Linked DNA regions of Drosophila melanogaster. The protein of the gene in region 1 interacts with the protein of each later gene in a pairwise test. Each region holds a gene or a part of one and is shown on either strand. Other genes may lie near its edges.

Region 1 (5,302 bases):
TCGGAACTGACCTCGATGAGGGCTCTCTTTCCGCGCGTGAAACACAGTTCAATGTCGGCGGACACGTCCACATGCTCCGAGTTGACCCTGCCACTGACCTTGAGGCAGCGTGGTACTTCTCGAAACACCCACAATGCCAGCTGCATACCGTAGACACCAAAATCGTTGGTAACTCCGCCGTAAAGTCCTAGTCTCCTGCAAGTTTGCTGATGCAGTGTGTGCTAAATGTGTCATCTACGTTTAAAATCTTACCCCTGTGAAACGGGCAAGCCCAAAGTGCAATGGACTTGCTTTATCTCTCCCAAACGGTTTCGCAGTATCTGATGCCGCAGGTAATGATAGGCGGGCACGCATCTTGGCCACATTCCCTCCATGAGGAACAGGCCGCGCGCCCGCGCCTTCTCCAGCAGCTTGGTCACCTGCTCCTCCGTCATGCAGAGCGGCTTTTCGCACAGAACGTGCTTGTCGTGGTTCAACATCAGGTGGCACAGCTCCGAGTGTTGTGGATTCAGGGGAGAGATGTACACTACATCTGCGCTCGAATAAAGTTATCAGTAGGTAGATGCTTCACAGAATGTAATAGAATGTAATAAACTCACCGACATTTGGACACTTGGCCAGATCCTCGAAGCTGGTGTACACGTTCTCCACCTGATGGCGCTCGGCGAAGGCGAGCGCATGCGACTGATAGGCAGCCACGCAGGACACGATGCGATGGTGCTGCTCGGGCAGGACACTCAGCGCCGCGGCAAAGTCATCCGCCATCAGGCTGACGGGTGCGATGCCCCAGCGCAGCGTTGGACCCTCGTCCACCACCCAGACGCCCCTTTCGAGGATCCCCTTCGAGGCGGCCTTGGAGGAGGGAAACCGATTGATGTGCAGCTGGCGTGGTCGGTGTCGCCACATATTGTGGTCACCAATATCGCAGCCAACGAATCTGAATCTGCCCCGGCTGCCATCCGACTTGCCTGATGAACTTGTGCCATGACCTGTGGGCAGGTGATCTGCGGAGCGGTTAGTAGGAGGTATTACTCACTTCGACCAGAGAAAACTGCACTTAGAGAAAATATGTTAGCAAAGTGTTAACAATTGTTTAAAGTCACTTTTGAAGGATCCCAAATTAAGATTTAATATTGGTTTTAAAAAACTACTTAAGTCAGTAGCTATTCATTTTGTTGAATATTTCTATTTATATTGTATTAAGTTAGTATCATATTTTTCAAGTGTACAACTGCTGGTGACGATCGGTATCTACTTTGTCGCGTAAAACGCATTTCATTCATACAATCGAGCGCTTTTCCACGAATTGGCGAAATTGCGGGTGTTGGTTTTGGCCGCCGGCAACCGGTCCGAACTGCGCTCCATCCGTGGACATGGACCGTGGACCATCTACGTCGAAACCGAGACGACGGGCGCATTATGTGGCGCTGTTTAGTGCGTCAGTTCCTCCATAATTAGTCATATTTGTTTAGCATCACAACTTGTGAATGACTCGCTGCCGCTGGTTGCAGCTCAGTCAGGTTTTTAAGCCGCTTGTTTTTATGTTTGTTGTGTTGCTTTTCTTTTACATTTTGTTGGTGTCGATATTGTTGTTTTTTGTTGTTGCTGTTGTTGTCGTATTGGCCTGGTCCTGGCCAAGTTGGCCAAGTTGGGAGCTGCCTGGGCCGCGCACTTTGCGCTTCGTTCTGTCCGCATTCGAATTTCACTTTCTTTTTTAGAAACTAAACATCGGACTGCTTGTGTATTTATCACCGCACTGCCAGTCGAATGAGTCGCTGCACTTTGATAAATACATTGATAAATAATTTAAAAAAAACGCATCTAACCTAATCAAAATTCGATTAATTACCAGCTTAACAAGTACTTAAGATGATATTTAAGATACTATTTAAATTCAAAGTGCATTACAAATGTAGTAAACATATATTTGCCTTGCATATTTCTTCTATTCTTGTGTATGATAGAGCATATAAAATTCGGTTTTTTCCACAGCTCAACCTGCCACCTTTCGCGGCTTATTTCACTTTTCAATAACTCGAGTGCGTGCAACAATGTACGGCAGCGAGTGTCCGCTTCTGTGTGCGAGTGTCGATGGTGCGTCGCAACAAAAAGCAAAAATTTGTTTATCTAATTAGCAATGCGCCGGGCGACGTCTTTTCGGGGCGGCAGTGCTTTTCACCTAATTTTGCATGCATGGCAGGCGGTGCAAGTGGCAAGTCGATGGCCGTAGAAATTGCCCTAACCCCAAATGCAAAGCGATAAAAATATGTGCGAGCCGCGTCTTCGTTTGGCCAGTGAACGAAAGTGTTCTATGGGTGTGCAGACGCTCCAAAAAAAAAGGAAAAAAAAAAACTGCTGAAAACCAACCAAAGTCCAAAATGAGAAGAAAACACAAACCAACTCTCGCCCCGTGCCGGAAATGTCTTTGTATAAGTCATTGCAAGTGCGAGTGTGTGTGTGTGGGTGAAATTATGTGCCAGTGAAAGGTTGCCTAATTTCTGTCATTAAGCTACACGGGCACGAGCAGGACATAGAAATGCACTCAAAAACATTGAGACAACATTAGATCGATCAGAAAAATATATATATAAGTTATCTTGATTATGTTAAAGAATTTTATTGGAAGTTTTTAAAATAAGCCTTAATAAAGGATGAATTTATGTACGAAAGAAAATAATCCTAACCGCATCCAAATTTATTTATATTTAATTTATTTATTAATTAACTTCCTCGAAATGTTTGTTGTAACCAAGAGCCACTAAACTCCTGGAAAATATGTTTAACATTGATTGCATTCCTTTGCATATTGTTTATAGTGTAGCAGGAAGTGATGGGCGGGGGGTGGAGGGGTACGCGACAAGAGCTGACAGCCGGAGCACACAAATTTGCCATGCGTGTGTGTTTTGATGACTCTTTCCCGAGAGCGACGACACGGCGGAGACGACATGTTCATTAAAGCCGTAGCAGCGTCATCTTGGCCGCCATCAGTTGCCGGTTCCTCTGGTGCACCGACAAAGCAAATAAATACTAAAATTTGCATGCCTGCAACATAAATCGTCGCAAAATATTAAACAAGTCAGCAGCAACAGTTGAAATCAATAAATTTATTGATACAATTTACACGGCCGAGTGGGCTGCCAGATAGCTGGCCACATGCAACATTGGCCGCATGCAACAACACATGCGCTAATTAAGGGGGTTCCCACTTGCTGGCGGGGGTGTCTTGGCAAATGCTGCACTTGAGATGGCAAGATGGCCTTGCAAGTGGCCACTGAACAAGTTAACGAGCCTGGCCAAATGACCAACTGACTGAGGAAATCCAATTGGTGATTTCAAGGCGGGAGAAAAGGAGGAAAACAAATTACCGTGGGGGGATTTAGTGAGTTACATTACAGTGATTTGCGATGATTTGGTCCTTACTCTGACTCGATTTCGCATCGGAGAAAAACAACCGTAATAAATTAAAAGTCATTTGACTTTAATTGTTAACTAATTTCGATTGCATTTAGTAATGTGAAATTAATTAAGTTGGTTTTTCATTCCTGAAAATGGGCCAAAAGCGTTGAATTTACTTAGTTCTTGTCAAAGTTTTCAGCAAAAAGAAAACAAGGGAAAAAAGAAAGTGGAATGATTTGCAAACATTTAATGTTCTGTGACGACAGGTATTTAGGAGTGTGGCTAGATATTTGCGTGTTGTGCCATTCTAAGTTTCGAAAGTCATGCGTCAAGTTCGTTGCCAGAGTCTTTCGATTTGCCTTACGCTTTTTGTGCGATGTTTTTGCAACACTGCGCCTATTGACACCTTCAACATGTCGAAAGAAAAGGGGGACAAAGGGAGGCTCTGTGGCCAGAAAACAGCATAATCTTTCCGCAGCCGTTGCCATTGCTTTTTTTATTTTATTTTATTTCTTTATCATACTGACGAGTTTCGTATGCATGTCTGTCGGCTTACTCTAATCTTCCCCTCAACTACGCACACGCCCAGCAGCAACAGCAACGCCAATTGACAGCCAGTCATGTCATGACTATTGCCAATTGTTTTTGCTGCCCAAAGCTTTTAACATATTTTACGACCCGATTGCCAGTAGAAATTTATTTTGGATGTTTGCTTTTTATGCAACAAGTGGCAGCGAAAGTGTAAGTTTTAGGGTATAGAACTAAAATGATATATTCCTTTGGATTTTAGAAGGAACCTACTTCGATGTTGGCAATAGAATTTTATTTAGTCTTTTTTAAAATCGAAATTTCTGCAAATATCGAAAGATAATAAAATCAAACCTAATCAGAATTCTTGGCTAGCAGCGGTAACATGTTGCAGGTAGTGAAAAGTGAGTCTGCCTTTGGGCAACGACTACAAACAGGCAGCAACAAAAGCGAAAAGACGACAACTTTGGTGACGAAGTCGACGGCGCTGCCAACTGCGCTGGCGACGCGTGTCTTTATGGATTCGCTTTGGCCAAAAGCGTTGGTCAAAAGCGTTGCGACGGCGGCAACACCACGAAGACAAGTGCAGGCTCTTTGCTTTTCAGCTGGTTCGATGTACCTGAAAATCTCAGCCGAAGCCGAAGTCGAGTTGCTGCCTGCGTCGACGACGCTGCCGCTTTTAACAGTTTCGAATTTTAGTTTTGGCCAAGACCACGCGAAATCAGTTAACAAACGGACGCGTTTCGAAACGGATGCACTGGTTGGTGGCACTGGCAAAGCGAAGCGAAACCTGAAGCGCCTGAACCTCTGGCTCCTCCATAAAGATCCCAGGTTTTGTCCCAAAACCCGAGGCCGTGCGAATGTCTGTCGGTTTCGGCGGCAGAAGCTCGAAGAGCTGCTATCTTCATCGGTCGCGCTGGTCGCTTAAAAGTGAAATTTACTGAATGAAATGAAATGTCTTCTGGCCAGCCTCACTGTCTGGCCGATTGGCTTTGTGTTTGATTATTGATTTGTGACTATTGTCGGCAAGGAAGCGACTGCAAATTAGATTGCCGTTCCAAAAGGATTAAGAAATAACCTACTACGAGTACAAATTATAAAAGACTTGACTCGCGGAACCGCTAAAATATTTGTTCCTGTGCCAGTGACATTGTCGATTGGCCAGTCGATTGGCCGGGAAAAAGGTGATGTAAGATCCTGCATAGATTGTGTAAGCTTGTGAAAGTGAAAGAACAAAAGATGTGGACGATTATTTTGAACAAATTTAATAATATATAGAACTAGAAAAACTAATGGAAATCTTAACTTTCAAAGGAGAAAAAATGTTTTTTTCAGATACGTATGTATCTAATGGCTAATGAATATTTATATGACATAC
Region 2 (2,927 bases), on another chromosome or scaffold:
CATACCGGTTTTCGAGAAGCGAATTCGTAAAAACATGTTATGTTTAAATATCGAGAAGTGTCCCAAAGTGCGAAACAAACCGATTTAACAACAAATGCCCAAAGCGAATCACAAACGTGAGAGAAACAATAAATATATAAAGTGAATTATTATAGCATAAAATGAATTATTCTCTTATCAGTGTGTACATTATATTTTCATAAAGCACAAATAAAATTCAGTGAAGACATTAACAAATTCAAGCTAAAAGTTAAACTGAAAGCTAAACACTTTTTTTTGTTGAAATTGCAATTTTTTTTATTATAAATGTTTGTACTGATAATTGCGCTTACAACAAAAACGAATACACAAATCAAAGCAAGTGTCTGTGTGATTGTAAAGAAGAATGTGCTAAGCAAATAAGGCAAATAACAACCATATAACTGTAACTGAAATCCCACACTGAGAAAATAATCAGCGAAGAATAATATTTTGACATCCGTCTCTTGAAATATAAGATCAAACTTTAGGTTAATACTCATTAGAAATATATCAATAAGCTATGAAATATCATTTAAATAAAAATGTAGTGATCTTATTTTCATTTTTCTTCGTGCTCTCATAAGACAAGTTGATTGATTTGCGCAAAGGGAATTCGAGACACTTAAGATATTACCAAGTTCAGTGAGCAACCGCCCTAATGTCAAGGTCTTTCGCTTGGGGATCGGGTTTTAACCTAATGGACTTGACCCCCATTTTCTGTGGCTGTACGAAATCCGCAGCTTAAGTTACCAGCAAAACATATTTACTCAATTAGAGCTGACACCTATTATGTCTCAAGTTGCAACACGTGGTGCAATAAGTAAAAAATATTTTATCAATTCTGTTTAATTTTCCTAATTTTTGATTTCTCTCTAATCGTGTCTAGTAACCCATAAAACTAACGACAATTCGCATAAACAAACATAATAAAGGAAACGTTAGTAAAACAACAGAGTGTAAAAAAGGTTTAGCAACCGCGAAAACGACTTACGAATTTTCACAACAACTTGATGTTTTGTAACGGAGTTTCAAGAAACTAGTAAAAACTTTATTGTGAATTCTTCTGCTGCTTCTTCTTTGCAAGTGTGGCAAAAATTTTGTTGCTCTGCGGATTTATCGAGAACATCAACCACTCACGGTAAGTTGTGCTAATTATTGCTTAAACTTATTTAGTTGGCTATTTTTATTGCAATTTCTTGAGCATGATTCACAAGGGGAATTCAAATCAGAGGCTGCCCTTTAATGAATCAGCTACTTGGTTGGCATGGCCTACATTCAGTTCTCTAAAAATCACTTCTGATATATAAATACGCAGAACTAAATGCAGCCACTGATTTGAAATATCAAATATATTGCAGGTCTTCGTTCTGCATAAGCTTGATGTTCTGAAGTATATTGTATACATCGTTTTTTTGACGTGCTTTTCAAGTGTTAATAAGTTGAGCTGCTTCTATATCATACTCATATGTATGTGTGCAAATGATATATCTGTCAGTTGTCCATCATTGGCTAAGATCAAATCCGAATCTAAGCCATTTCGAGTTGAACAAACCCAATCGCAACGCCGCCGAAAGCGAGAGGCACGGGTACGTGAACTCCATATTCCGACCACTCTGATCTAATGCCGCTGAAATCGCACAAGGTTGTACTTGTGTACGAGCGTATGTAGATAGATGGATGAATAGTATGTGGTCCAATACATTCCGATTTCGATTTCGGATTCGGTTTCGCTTTCGAAGTCGGCTTAAACTTGGCACCTGTTGCGGTCAGAGCAACACTCGACTACACTGTCGCACAAAGTTCGCATAGAATTGAATCGAGCTTGAAAATGTTTTGTGGTCGCAAGTGCTGTCTGTTCTGCCTGTTCATGAGCGCCTGGGGCTTCTTGATGCTGAATCTGCTGGGTATCTTCTTCTACGTCCAGTCACTGATGCTCCTGGAGTCCCTGCCCTTGCCCCACCACTTCCCCAGTCAGGAGGCCTTCAAGGAGCAGGCGGACGAGGCCTACCAGGACGTGTCCACACGGTGCTTTGTAGCCGCCGTTTTCTATCTGGGATTCGTCTTCATTGCGATAGTGGCCATTCGTCGGGATAACAAGAGAAGGAAGCGACTCTACAAGCGGGGTCCCGGTCACTTGCGATTCCGTCGTTGATTTGTATGATTGGTTATTGAATAAACAATTTATTTTCATGGTTCCAATTGCATTTCACCCACTCAGCGACGTCCACCCACTTGTTGGTTCGAAAGATCGAAAGAACCAGTTTGTTGACCGCATTCTGCGATTAGCCTTAACTTCTTTATCGCCAAGCCACTTTTCGATTTCAAGTCTGGCTGACTGTTGTCCACTCCGCATTATGCATTCGTCTCGGACCAACCGATTTTTGACAGCGCACGTGACACCTTCACCGAGGTGTGTTCTCTTTTGGGCATCATAAATTTCCGTGAAATTCTCTTTCCGAAACATGCTAATGGGAATGGGGTGTGGGTTCCCAGTTCTGGCTATTCCCCCCCCTTTCACCTCTATACCGTAGTCTAGTCTACACCGGGGTTATGTATCTTGTTCTTATCGACCGAGCTTTTGTGTCTTACACGAAAACCGTTGTGTAAATTATCGTACACGATTTTCTAGTTGTACGCTTGTGTATCTGGCTTGTTATCACCACCAACCAAGTGCAGTCTGCTGAAAACTGGTTCACTGCATTTACTCATTTTTTCGGGAACTCGGGTTAACTGATTTGGAGATCTGGCAATACCTGGGAAATATTCTAAATTTCCTCCATGGATGGTCTTCTATATAATTGTGCCACCCGAGAGACCGTACAATTTCTTATGCAGATGTAGAATCGTATTTTTTACGAATCTATGAAACACACTCGTAGAAAAGTGGTTCAATTCAGAAACATTTG

What was found. The genes of interacting proteins can lie anywhere in the genome.
Region 2: the proteins of CG13272 (region 1) and CG11269 interact in a two-hybrid assay, tested with the Drosophila melanogaster proteins (one large-scale study listed by BioGRID).

What each region holds. Positions count from the first base shown.
Region 1 is NT_033779.5:16,802,672-16,807,973, forward strand, and holds the start of CG13272 (uncharacterized protein), read left to right. Parts: upstream 1-2,212; 5' UTR 2,213-2,591; intron 2,592-4,644; exon of another isoform or gene 4,645-5,108; intron 5,109-5,302. Other genes in the region: CG13280 (uncharacterized protein), read right to left, coding at 1-195, 253-532, 600-1,004.
Region 2 is NT_033778.4:22,137,093-22,140,019, forward strand, and holds CG11269 (uncharacterized protein), read left to right. Parts: upstream 1-1,802; 5' UTR 1,803-1,849; coding exon 1,850-2,173; 3' UTR 2,174-2,203; downstream 2,204-2,927.